Linked DNA regions of Rattus norvegicus. The protein of the gene in region 2 purifies or fractionates together with the protein of the main gene of each other region. This does not show direct contact. Links are inferred from orthologs where the notes say so. Each region holds a gene or a part of one and is shown on either strand. Other genes may lie near its edges.

Region 1 (4,906 bases), on a different chromosome or scaffold from region 2:
CCAACTCGCTCAAGCAGGTTCAGCGGGTACCAAATTAAAGGTTTGTTTCCAACTGGAAGCAGAGGCTTGGGAATGCTGGAAGTCAAGTCTGTCATCCGAGATCCCCCACCGACGGCCATAACTACGGCTTGAAACTCCATTTTTACAAATCTGCAAGCACAGGAGGAGAAAGAGTAACTTAAATCAAATGACACACAGTACGATTTGTCTCTATTTACATGAGCACTTCCCACCTATACCAGATGTATCACTTCTGCTCTAGTTACCAAAGTAAGAAACACTCCCTAACTGCAGCAAAATCATCTTTCTCGCCTTCTCTAGCCAACATGAGTTTTAGCTCCAATTCTAGTAAAAGCAGAGTAATATAAATTAAAAACATCTGGCCTGCACCCTTGAGTTGTTTATAGTTAAGATCAGACAAGTCCAAGTACCAGTGCGGTGGCATATTTAATCCCAGCATTTGGGAAGCAGAGGCAGGCAGATCTCTATGAGTTTAAGGCCAACCTGGTCAACACAGAGTAAATTCCAGCACAACCGAAACTACATCGAGAGACCCCCATCTCAAAAACACTAGCTGGGGAATTGCAGTTCTCATGTTGCAAAGGAAACATCCCTTTGCAAAAGATCAGACCATTACAGATCACAACTGATCAAAAGAAAGAGTTGTGGAGCCCCGTTCCACCTAATACCTGTAAGAAGGTCCTGCAGCTAAGGCTCGGTGATCATAAGAGTGCAGAAAGACAGAGGGACAGGAATGTTTGCCATGGGTTTGTCTCCTAGATATGCCAGAGACTATACAACCATGAAGTGTCACCAACATGGCTCCCTAAACAAGACTGAACAAGGATAATAGTAACAGACAACTTAACATCTGAGAGAGAAAGCTTACAAGGCCTTAACCCTAAGCAAAAAATTACAGGCAACTAAGAAATGCTGAGAGCAAGTGAAACTGAACATCAATTGGTTATCCATTATCAAATGACCAGCCCTGAAAAAATACATATACTGACCGAGCATGCTGTAGTTATGCATTTAGGAAACACATGTCCACATTCACTAAGCTGCTGGGATTAAATGAGGGCTCACTTGTCTAGTATGTACGAGGACTTAGGTTATATTCCGTACACAGGAATAAAAAAGTAATTCTACATAAAACACGCAAAATAATGTTCATCCTATAACAAGCACTATATACATGTTTCATATTATTGGACAGATGCTAGATCATGGAAACCCCACTATACCAATTGAACTATACTGTTCTATAACTCTGGGTCTATATATCTCTCTTGTAAAAAATAATTTTTTAAAAAAAATTTTATGGGCTGGAGAGATGGCTCAGTGGTTAAGAGCACTGACTGCTCTTCCAGAGGTCCTGAGTTCAAATCCCAGCAACCACATGGTGGCTCACAACCATCTGTAATGGGATCTGATGCCCTCTTCTGGTCTGTCTGAAGACAGTTACAGTGTACTCATATATAATAAATAAATAAATCTTTAAAAAAAAAAAAAAAAAAGGGCTGGAGAGATGGCTCAGCGGTTAAGAGCACTGACTGCTCTTCCAGAGGTCCTGAGTTCAAATCCCAGCAACCACATGGTGGCTCACAACCATCTGTAATGAAATCTGATGCCCTCTTCTGGTGTGTTTGAAGACAACTACAGTGTACTCATAAGTGAATAAATCTTTAAAAAAAAAAAAATTTTATGTGTGTGTTATGTTGAGTGCATGTATGGAGTCAGATCCCCTGTAAGTGGAGTTATAGATGGTTATAAGCCACCGTGTAGGTGCTGAGAATTGAACCTGGGTCCTTTGGAAGAACATCCAGTGCTTTTAACCACCGAGGCATCTTTCCAGCCTCCTATAGGTCCTTTTGAAGTGGATAGGTACTACTATGCTGTCTCAGCTAGTGTGATGGCCTTTCCTAGATGTGACCCCACTACAGATCAGTACACGCAACCTGGTGGTTCCAGACTCCTCTAGAGGTCTCCATATTGATGCTTGTGAGTCTAGTACTAACACCTGATTATAAAGTGTGTATTAACTTTCTGGGCTCAAGTGATTTCCATCCTATCACCTTATTAGCTGGGACTGCAGGTTTACTGGGACTCCTGCATTAGATTGGATTTCTCCTGGGCCAAGTAACCAAACTCTTAAAAAACTCAGCTCAAAATTCATCTTCCATAGCATGATACTACAACTAACCCTGCACACCAATGATGGGACTTCTTTCACTAGTGGCTTCTACTATACTTTGTACAGATTGCATCAGCCTTTATAGGCTTCATTGCAGGCATTCATTTAAATGCCTATTAAGACTGAGTTCCTTGAAGTTGTTGTCAGGATACTCCCAGTCAGATGCCAGGTACTATGTGTGGAATGAGCATCTGTGAACCTCACAGCAGCCCAACATTAGTGTTAAGCTCAAAAGGGGGCATTTAAAACCCAGGTGACTAGAACCTAAAGTTCCTGTTCTCAATCTCTGGGTAAACAAACAAACCAACCCCACAACCTAAGAAACAAGAATACTTAGGAACCTAACCAATCAATCGTAAGGCTAAACAGACTCAAAAGTCTCAACTTTTCCGTAGTGACTGACTGCCGATATCAAGCCGGTGAGTCTCATCAGCCTCCAAGTTTTATAGGAGGCGTTTACAAAGTCTCAGTCATGCCTTCCCCACAGCGTAAATTGCCGTCTCCAGTTCAAAATGGTAAGATCGACCACTGCATTGTTTTTGGTTTGCTAAACCCTTGAGCGCTGCCTAAAGAGCCTTACTGTATCCCATTTAGTCCCTGCCTTGAGCCCAAACAAATGTGGGATGAATAATGTGGAAAGCATGTCAGCAAGGCACCAAGGGAGTCAGTGCTCACTTGGTGTGACTTCGAGCAGAACCGTCCCTCCCCGAAACTGTTTTTCCATCTGTTGCACAAGGTGGCTTGGATTCTCCAGTTCCCCAATTGGGACACATGGCTCTATGGCTGGGGCCGGCAGGGACTCGCTTTGATGATTTCCCCGTCTGCCCACTCGGGCCCTGTTCAGCGACCTGGCCTCCCTCACACGAACCCGGCTCTCCGCACCCGCGTGCCGCTCACCTTGCTTAGCCAGCTCGTGCACCGCCTGGTACCGTACTAGCCCCGGCTTTACCTCAGCTCCCCGCACGCCGTAGCCGCTCCCAGCGCTCCCCACGCTGCCTCCGGCTGACAAGCCAAAGGCGCAGGCGCGCGGTGGCCGAGCGGTTCGATATGACGTGCCGACTCAGGAAGGAGGAACGAGTGCCGAGTAATAGATGGCACAGAGCAGAGACGCTCCTGCTCTTGGCGGTGCTGAGCGTGTTGGAAACCAAGCAGCCCGTGAACTGTGGTATGGAGTTTCTATATTGCTATCCAGTGCTCGCTGAGTGTCCCCTTCAATTTCCTCCGTTGGGAGTTGCCATTTTAAACCTCAGTCTCAAGGTGCAAATTTTGAGTATCAGTGCTTTTTATTTTGTTTTTTGATTTTTCAAGACAGGGTTTCTCTGTGTAGCCCTGGCTGTCCTGAAACTCACTCTGTAGACCTGGCTGGCCTCGAACTCACAGAGATCCACCTGCTGAGATTCCCCCTGCCTCTGCCTCGGGAGAGCTGGAATTAAAGGCCTGCACCAAACAAACAAACAAATAACAAGAACAACAACAAAAACTCCCTACCAAATTCCTTTGCAGGTCAGTGGTTGGGTAGGCTTCCAGTGTGTAAGATGCCTGATTGTATCAAACTTTAGCCATCAAACAATAAATTCATCTCTGATGGCACTTAATGGTTTGAAGAGAGTTAAGCAGGTTGAGCCTTGGGAAAGAGCCTTCCAAGCTGCCTAGACAACAAGTGCAAAGATCCTGCCGGTGGTGGCACATGCCTTTAATCCCAGCACTTGGGAGGCAGAAGCAGGTGGATTTCTGTGAGTTCGAGGCCAGCCTGGTCTACAGCATGAGTTCCAGGACAGCCAGGGTTACACAGGGAAACTCTCTCAAAAAACAAACAACAACCAGGATTATACAGAGGGAAATTCTGCCTCGAAAAACAAAGAACAAGGGCTGGAGAGATGGCTCAGTGGATAAGAGCACTGAACTGCTGTTCCAGAGGTCCTGAGTTCAATTCCCAGCAACTACATGGTGGCTCACAACCATCTGTAATGGGATCTGACGCCCTCTTCTGGTGTGTCTGAAGACAGCTACAGTGTACTCATAGACATAAAATCATTTAAAAAAAACAACCATAAAATAGAAAAACAAAGAGCAAAAAACAAACAAATCCCAAGAGAGAAAGACACCCCCTCTTCCCCCTTGAGTCCTCGAGTTCAACAAATGGCAACAAGGTCACAGAAATCAAGCAGGAAGGGGGGGAGGGAGGGGAGGGAAGGGAGAAGGGAGGGGGAGGGGGAGGGAGAGGGGGTGAGGGAAGGGTACCTGAGGGCGTCAGATGGAAGAGAATTCATATTCCAACAGCTTGTAGGGTAGGTTAAAGGGAGGAACATGAATGTAAGAAAAAATGTTTAAAAATTTATGTATACACTGTTGCTGTCTTCAGACACAGCAGAAGAGGGCATCAGTCAGTGCTCTTAGCCATCTTTCCAGCCCCAAAGCACTCTTTTTTTATAGCCTCTTAACTCAAACAGCTCAGGAGGAAACAAAGCCCCATGGCGTCTGCAGCCCAGGTTCTACAGTCCTGTCTTCACATTGGCATATAATGGCTTTGAGTATGGTGGTGCGTGCTATTGCGTGTCTGTGATCCCGGCACTAGAAGGCCGAGGGAGGCTGGGCTAAATAAGACCTGTCTCAAAAGTAGGAGTGGGAAGGTCACAACCATGACAACTTTAAGGGAACATGAGTCCAAACTGAAGTTTCACAGCCTGAGCATGACCTGGGCCTTTGTTTGAG
Region 2 (3,558 bases):
ATGTATTTTTCTCACTTTTAAGAAAACAGATAATAAAGTATACTTGATTTTAGGCCTTGTAAATTTCTAAGTCACTTGACATGCCCTGGCCTCCTCCCACCCCACACTTTGCATTTCCTTTACAGCCCTACCAAGAGCACCCACAGGGGCAGAGGGGACTGTGTGTAGGGTTCTTTTTTCTCTTCTTTTCATTGCAACAGGGCTACACCATTGTAGTGGTTTGTATATGCTTGGCCCATGGGAAGCGGCACTATTAGGTGTGGCCTTGAGGTATGTCATGGCGTAGGCAGCCTTTGAGGGCTCCTAGGCTCAAGCCCCACCCAGTGTGGAAGAAAGCCTTCTGGCTGCTTTTGGATCAAGGTGTAGAACTCGGCTTCTCCAGCCCCACATCAGCCTGTACACTGCCAGGCTTCCCACCATGATGATAACGGACTGAACCTCTGGAACTACTAGCCAGCCCCAGCTAAATGTTTGCCTTTGTAAGAGTTGCCATGGAGTCTCTTTCAGGAATGAGACCCAAACTAAGACAACTATGTAGTCCAGGATGACCTCAGACTGACCCCCTGCCTTAGCCAGGAGTTCTGGGACCACAGGCTGGTGCCATGATACCCAGATTGGGGTTGAGAACATTTTAGAACGGGCTCTGGTGGTGTTTTATTGAAAACAGGAAGGGTATCTTATCCTGAGAAGTGCTGCTAGGCCTTTTCTGGTAACAGGTTCTGCCCAACTGTGCTTGCACTGTTTCTGGTCTTTGTCAACTTGTGTGAGGCAATACCATATCCAAATTGTTCATACAACTTACTGGAAAATATCCTGGCCTGTTCTCACATTTAACTTAAAAAAAAAAAAACAAAAAACAAAAAACCCACGGTTCAGGTTTTAAACATGTTTAGAGTAAACTCGCATCTTTTACAGACAACATTCTGTGACAGTGCCATGTGAATGGCTCCTGCATTGGTGTTTTTTCTATCTGGCTGGATCCTGCTGAGGGCATGGAGCCAGATGCCGTCAGCTACAGTGTCTGCTGTCTTGTGAGGCACTGAAGGTGTGTACTCAGCCAATGTCACCGCATCTCTCAGTGATGCAGCACGGCTGGGGGGTCCCTGCTCCTGTGCCATCTCTCCTCAGCTTTGCAGTCTGTAATTAACTTGTTCTTCCGGAGACTGAGTCTCTAAAAACCACAAGGTTGCTTCACCTTGCTTCTAGAACTGGGACCAGGCTTCAGATGTGACAGCAAGAGTAAAAGGATTCTTCAGGGCCTCTGAAATGAGCCCTTGGCATACAGGTCTGAAAGTCCCATTGTTGGCCCCTGGCTGGCTGGAGTGGAAAGGCTGCTCACCCTGCACAAGATGTGCTCCCTGCATGTTGGCAGGAGGGGCACTGCTCACAGGTACAGCTTGATGAGCTCGTCGCTTACAGCGGATGGTGTCAACACACCTAAGTCCGTAAACAGCAGTGTGATGAGGGATGGGGAGGTGTAGTCGACCCATGGGTGTTCCTCTTTGAGGTCCTGTCCAGCCTGCACAGACTTCAGGGTGTCTGCCTTGTACTGAGGAAAGGCAAGGAGAGGAGAGGCCAATGGAAGTACCTGGCCAAGGCCACATGTATGTAAAGGCAGAGATGGGACGAAGAGACGGGTTCTGTTACCCAGCAGAGTGCTATGTAAATGAGGTTTTGCCCCAGTGTGCCCAGGTCCAATCACCATCCCCACTGGAAAAGCACTGGAGGAGACAGCAATGGGAAGGGGAACTTTCTGGACCATTGTGGTTTCAGGGTAGAGTCAAAGATCACTGTCAAATACATAAAACTTACCTTAAACTTATCTGGGACATCTTGCTGGTTGAGTGGAAAGAGCCGTACAAACTTGAAACTTTCTGCAACCACATAGAAGGGCTTGTTCTGGGCTTTGGCACACACGGCCATCTGGTTGGTTCCGATCTGAGAAGTCAGGGAAATGGACACCGGGTGAGCTTACATAGCTCAATGAAGCAGAAGGAAGGAGAGTAAGTGTAATTAAGGCATGGCCATCAGAACTATTGCTTTTTAAAGACAAGTTCTTAATGTATTTCTTTCTGGCCTTGCATTCAAGATTGTTTTAAAACTTCTAATCCTCCTGCCTCCACTCCCCCTAGTGCTGGGATTACTTGAGTTCCGCCAGAGCTGGTCTATCTAGTGCTGGGGTTGAACTCGGGGTTTCAACATGCTAAACAGGCATTCTGCCAGCTAAGCTATAATCCTAATCCTCAAAGAGGACCTTTTAAGAAAGAAAACAATTTTTCTACCCAAAGTACATGAAAAGATGCCAGGGTCACCAGTCAGAGAAAATAAGTGCAGTCTAAGATAAGCCAGCACTTTCCACTTCTGGGGGATTCAGACACCTGTGGTCCAGTGTACACGGCAGTACCCTATACCACGGCCAACAGCAGGAAAATCCAAGTATCCACTACAAGTGAACATGGGCACGTGGTGGTGTCATGACAGAACTGTACTCTGCTTGAAAGGACACAGCAGTTACATACTGCACTGTGGCCACCGAATCATGTCAAGCTCAAAGTCACGAGCATCCTGTGAATGTACTTATTTGTGGTCCCCTGGACTGGAAAAGTCAGTACAGAGCAGAACACAGGTGACCAGGGACATGAGAAAAGGCCATCTGAGACAAACAGTAAGTTTTATAAACACTGTGTGGTGTGAGTGTGCTGAACGCCAGTGAACCGGGGACTTAGGACGGTTCGTGCACAGCTTAACATGATTAAGGTGTTTGTCACAGACAGTTTCCAAAAACTTTGTAAGCGACAAAGAAATCGCAATAAACCCTGGGGATGGAAGTCCTCAATCAAATGGAAACAAAACCAGAGACAATTCCAAGCTGCATCCAGTTTGCTGGGGTATGGTGGTCATGCCTATGATCTGAGCACTTGGGGGGCACACACAGGAGTTTGACCATCTGAGGCTACCCTGAGCTACATAATACCCTGTCAAATCCAGGTCCAAACGAATGGACCTATTGTATATAAATGCAAATGCCACTGACTAAATTCACCAAGACCAGCCTCCAAGGAAGAAGGCCGACCAAAGTCTTGTTCAGGCTGCCGGGGCTTCTGGGAATAGTGACAGTACCCACCTTGTTAATAATTCCTCCATTCTCTACCACTCCTTCAGCACCAACGATGACAAGGTCTACTTTCTCCATGATATAGCTAAGGAAATGGGAAGGGAAATACTGGGTTGGCCAGGCTCACAGATTCACCTGCCTCTGCCTCCCGGTGCTGGATAGCAGGCGTGTTACAGCTTACTTTTTAAGACAGTACCACGAAGATGCTTATCCCAGAACCCCCAACCGCTTAAATAGTGAGCTTTCTTTTCAAAGGATTACTATCTGTTAGTGACAGACACGGATGACTCAGCTTAGACAAGGCGCCCACTGCACAGCCCATATGCAGACACAGAGTGGAGGATACCTTACTGCTGACCATAGCCTGACCTTTGCCTTTTACTCTGAAAACACGAGCAGCTAGGCTGAGGCTCATGCCAGCACCCTGACACTCTGAGGAAGGA
Region 3 (4,881 bases), on a different chromosome or scaffold from region 2:
CTAGGGGGCAGTGTTACCTAATTTCACAAGCCCCTGAACTCCACATCCAGCATTTCTGGGAGCCCTGTGTGTGCCCGTGTAAGAATTCCCACAAGTGCACATTTTTCTTTTTCATGAAGATCTGTAGCGCAACCAATCAATCACGCAGAACGTACATGTATACATTCTTTTATTTTGGTCGTGTTTGCCTACCCGTTTGATCAGTTGTCGCGAGGCCTCACTGCAGATCTCACTTCCTCCTGTCTCAGTCGGTGGTGGAAATATACACCCTTGGGTGACCTGTACTACATTGATTTAATTGAAATTTTTTTACTAACCTTTTCCCTCTTTGTACCGACGTTTTCAAAAGCAAATGTTGTTCTCACAGCACCCTCCTTAACTGAGCGAAGAAAGAAATAACAGGTTTCTGAGTTCCATGAGGAATCTAAACTGTAGAAACACAAACTAACCACTCTCTGTGGGGAGAGAGGGCATCTGGGGGAGGTGGGTGGAAGCAACAGAGGGAGTTGCTGAAACCTGCAGGCTGTGGGATTAGCAGAGGTTCTGGTGCTGAATGGGCACAGATTGCTTACAGGAATTTTTTGGCTTGACAGAATTACGCCCAGGCTGTGTGCCATTGCTTCCTCAGCCTTAAGCTTGATTTATAAACTGCGGCCACAGCTTCTTTTCCCGAAACCTGTTGCTCTGCTTCAGCGTCCAGCCTGAAAAGCTTGCTTACTACGCCCCAATCCTACAGTTTACTGCTGCTCTTAGATCCAGCCTCTTCTGTGATAACGCTTGTGGAACTAGGGAGTCAGATGAGCCCCAGCACCAGTCTTTCCACTCACTAGTTGGGCGTGCTTCCTTGGTCTGATTTAAATGTTTAAGAAATGCCCGTGCTTTAGGTCGTATTTCCAGAACGGGAGGAGGGAGGGGACACGGAGGAGGGAAGGGACACGACCTAGCCCATAATCCGCGGGTGCTCCGTAAAATTAACCGCTTGGGGTTGGGGATTTAGCTCAGTGGTAGAGCGCTTGCCTAGCAATCACAAGGCCCTGGGTTCGGTCCTCAGCTCCGAAAAAAAAAAAAAAAATTAACCGCTTGCCTCCACGTTCAGTATTTGGGCAGATCGTGGGTTCCCTCCCAAAGACGACAGATCCCCTTAGATGACTAGAATTGCAAGTGGAGAGCTACATTTAATTTTTAGATTTATGTGGAAGAGTGTTTTGCCAGCTTGTATGTATTCCACAGGCATGTGTCCAGTTGAAAGTGAGTTGGACACCACAGAATTGCAATTGTGCATAGTTGCTTGCCACCACGTGAGCGCTGGGCGCCGAAGTTGGATTCTCTGCAAGAGCAGTAAGTGCCCTTAACCGATGAGCGATTTCTCCAGCTCTGGGCAGGGAAGCTGCAGACTCCTGCCGGGCGATCACAAGCCTACTCAGCTCGCTGCCATCTTAGCTTGCCTAACTCAGCAGCACTCGCTGACCGAGTTTGACAACGGTGGGATCTCACCCCTCCGTGGTAAGTGCACCACCCAGTACCGCCAACTCCTACAAAACTAGCACGGTCTGCCACGCCCCGGCTCTGGCCTTGCACGGGGGTGGGTGGGGCCTGCTAGTATACACATGCGCACTCCTTCCTCTTTCTCTCCTTGCAATCACACCTTCGCGTTTTGACTGCGAGTCCTTTTTGTCCCCTACTGCGTGCGGTGTGGCTTCCCGGCGGACGTGCTGACTGCGAAGCAAAATGGCAGCCACTGCGGCGGTTCCCAGCGCTGTAGGCGGCCGAGCGAACAAACGCGGCGGCGGCTCCGGCGGCGGTGGAACCCAAGGTGCGGAGGAGGAGCCGCCGCCGCCCCTCCAGGCAGTTTTAGTGGCCGATAGCTTCGACCGCCGCTTCTTCCCCATCTCCAAGGACCAGCCTCGGGTGAGGACCCGGCACGCGAGCAACCTGCGGGCCTGGAGGGTAGCAGGGCTACAAGTTGCCACTGCAGCTTGCTAGTGAAGCGTGTTCTGAAAGTTACCATAAAGTTGAGTTTTTCTGGTTGAGAGAAAGTGGAGGGACTGACTGAAACCCCGGTGGCTGTCCGTCCAGATGAGTAGCTAGCAAATATGGATTCTCGCAGGGCTGTCTGCCCAGCCTTGAGAAGGATTGAGAGGGCTGTGTATAGAATCAGTGTTTGAGGGGGTTGGGGATTTAACTCAGTGGTAGAGCGCTTGCCTAGCAAGCGCAAGGCCCTGGGTTCGGTCCCCAGCTCCGAAAAAAAGAAAAGGAAAAAAAAAAATCAGTGTTTGAAAGAAGCCTTCCCAGGGGGATTTAGTAGCGCAAGGGGGCCTCCATTGCCTCTAACCTTGCAGGACATGGGCAATTTAAAAAATGCTTCAAAAAGCGATGGTAATATATACCTAAAGGGAAAAAGGCTAGATCTCGGCCTGGTACGGGCTCTTTTCCTCCCATCTGCTGCAAGGGGAACCGAGTGGGTTCCCCTCAGCCTTGGAACTACCTAGACATAGGACATTGGTATTGGGCTTGCAGACTGCTCGGTCCCTCAGCAAACAGGGATTTGCCTTTTACTTAAGAATTCCTAAGGCTAACGACTGTTCACTTTTGACAAGTGTTTGAATGATTTCTGTGACTCAGTGTCAATAGGAGGAAATTCTATGAGAAGAAGGTCTTAGTGCTTAGAGTTATAGAGCTATGATTTAGGGCCAACATTTGTCCTTAATGTCAGCCCTGGTTTCCTATAACATATTCTGTGTCTGATACCATGTCTACTAGGCCCAAATCTTAGACTGAACCTTTGGGCCTATTTGCTTTAGAATAAAAGGGTAAAGCAAACTGTAGTGTCTGCAAGCCCCGATGAAAGGCACATTGTTGCAGTGGGGTACCTGAAGTATAATAATGGCTTGAAGACCTCAGACTTTTTCATATCCTGCCCTATAGGTCCTATTGCCCCTGGCCAATGTCGCGCTGATCGACTATACTCTGGAATTCTTGACTGCCACGGGTGTACAGGAAACATTTGTCTTTTGCTGCTGGAAGGCTGCTCAGATCAAAGAACACTTACAGTAAGGCTCGGGAATTTTTCCTTTCCATGCTTCACCGTCTTTTTTCCAGTCCTTCCAGCATGGGTTTGACGAGGTAGAGACATGAGGAAAACTGCATCTGTTCTGAGCTCGTGTATGATTTAGTGTTTTCTTCACGTGTCCTGAGAGAAGCTGCTGGAGCTTTCTTTGCCTTGAGGTTTCAGTGATGGAAATCGAAAGGCTTGGCTATGATTTTCTGAGTCTTTCAAAGTTCGTTCCAGTGAGTTTTGCTTTTTATGTTCCAGTGGGTATGTTATTGGAAGAGCATCTTTATTTTCCCACTGAATTTCTAAACACTGTCTGTTCTGACCCCCCAGTGACAGGAACAAGTTCTTTCCCCTTGTCTCCCCCACTGCCCTCCTTAGTTTCAAGCCCACTGTAAGTTCTTAAGAGATGCTTGTTAAAATTTGGAAGAGCTAGTCTGGGAATTTATGAGTTTTGGAAGTAAAGACTAGTATACTGAACATGTTTTCCATGTTACCGTGCTTAAAGTTGATACAGACTCAGAACAAGAAAGATGACTTGAAAAAAAAAATGTGTTCCCAGAATACTTTCATAGCCTAGATTTCATAGGATTTTAAATTCAAACTCACATTTCAAGACGGGAGTCAAGGTATAGAAAGGAAATGGTCATACTTCTCAAACACATAAAACTAATGACACTGGAAGCCGAAACCATTTATTATGGTTCACGCGTCTCTTTGAAGCCAGAGACGCTGGCAGGAAGCCAGAGAAGCCACAGAGGAGTATAAATGCTGAATGGAGGTTAGAGGTCAGGTCTGTGATAGTCTGTTTACTTTATAGTTCCTCATCACTTTCCCACAGGAAATCCAAATGGTGCCATCCTACGTCCCTCAATGTTGTTCGAATAATCACATCAGACCTGTACCGATCACTAGGAGATGTCCTCCGTGATGTCGATGCCAAGGCCTTGGTGCGCTCTGATTTCCTCCTGATATATGGAGATGTCGTCTCAAATATCAATATTTCCAAAGCCCTGGAGGAACACAGGTCAGGTGGGGAAGACGGCAGGGACAAGACTTAGGGACCAGTTGAGTCCTAAGACTAACTCTGCCCCTCCTTCTTTATAGGTTAAGAAGGAAGCTAGAAAAAAATGTGTCTGTCATGACAATGGTGTTCAAAGAGTCCTCACCCAGTCACCCTACACGCTGCCATGAGGACAATGTGGTGCTAGCTGTGGATAGCACCACAAACAGGATTCTTCACTTCCAGAAGACCCAAGGCCTCCGCCATTTCTCCTTTCCTTTGGTAACTGGGTGTCTGGGGAACTCAGGTAGAAGAGGGAGGAGCTTCGAGAGGAGAGATGAGCTAAAGCCTTTGTAACTTCTCCCCTCAGGGCCTATTCCAGGGCAGTCTAGACGGAGTGGAGATTCGATATGACTTGTTGGATTGTCACATCAGCATCTGCTCTCCTCAGGTGAACTCTTCAGAACAGAGCTGCATAGCCAAAGAGCAAAACTCTAGGGGTCTGTTCCCTTTCAAGTCCAGGGGATGCATCTTTCCCCTCTTTTTCTGGTTTGTTGTACAGTAGAGAAGCACAATTACTTCATTCCCAGTATATTGGGAACCAAATCTAGGGTTTGTCCTACAGCCAGTTACTATGGCTTTGATAGCTCTCTGGACGTTGTTACTGTAAAGCACCTACCCTTAGCATAGTGTGTTTTCTCCACAGGTAGCTCAGCTCTTCACAGACAACTTTGACTACCAAACTCGAGATGATTTTGTGCGAGGCCTGCTAGTGAATGAGGAGGTGAGGAAAGCTCCCAAAACGTCTAGAGGAGAGGGTTTGTCT

What was found.
Region 1: the proteins of Eif2b1 (region 2) and Eif2b3 purify together in Homo sapiens (affinity purification with mass spectrometry; 7 studies listed by BioGRID and IntAct, counting the BioPlex papers as one, with this or other methods). This does not show direct contact. The link is inferred for Rattus norvegicus from reciprocal best matches to the Homo sapiens genes EIF2B1 and EIF2B3.
Region 3: the proteins of Eif2b1 (region 2) and Eif2b5 purify together in Homo sapiens (affinity purification with mass spectrometry; 7 studies listed by BioGRID and IntAct, counting the BioPlex papers as one, with this or other methods). This does not show direct contact. The link is inferred for Rattus norvegicus from reciprocal best matches to the Homo sapiens genes EIF2B1 and EIF2B5.

Annotation. Positions count from the first base shown.
Region 1 is NC_086023.1:135,727,125-135,732,030, reverse strand, and holds the start of Eif2b3 (translation initiation factor eIF2B subunit gamma), read right to left. Parts: upstream 3,190-4,906; 5' UTR 3,092-3,189; exon of another isoform or gene 2,968-3,091; coding exon of another isoform or gene 2,870-2,967; intron 151-2,869; coding exon of another isoform or gene 141-150; coding exon 1-140. UniProt on the Homo sapiens protein: Acts as a component of the translation initiation factor 2B (eIF2B) complex, which catalyzes the exchange of GDP for GTP on the eukaryotic initiation factor 2 (eIF2) complex gamma subunit.
Region 2 is NC_086030.1:37,692,144-37,695,701, reverse strand, and holds the end of Eif2b1 (translation initiation factor eIF2B subunit alpha), read right to left. Parts: intron 3,201-3,558; coding exon 3,125-3,200; intron 1,939-3,124; coding exon 1,813-1,938; intron 1,550-1,812; coding exon 1,385-1,549; 3' UTR 872-1,384; downstream 1-871.
Region 3 is NC_086029.1:93,905,612-93,910,492, reverse strand, and holds the start of Eif2b5 (translation initiation factor eIF2B subunit epsilon), read left to right. Parts: upstream 1-1,692; 5' UTR 1,693-1,728; coding exon 1,729-1,908; intron 1,909-2,925; coding exon 2,926-3,050; intron 3,051-3,893; coding exon 3,894-4,079; intron 4,080-4,159; coding exon 4,160-4,337; intron 4,338-4,425; coding exon 4,426-4,506; intron 4,507-4,761; coding exon 4,762-4,839; intron 4,840-4,881. UniProt on the Homo sapiens protein: Acts as a component of the translation initiation factor 2B (eIF2B) complex, which catalyzes the exchange of GDP for GTP on eukaryotic initiation factor 2 (eIF2) gamma subunit.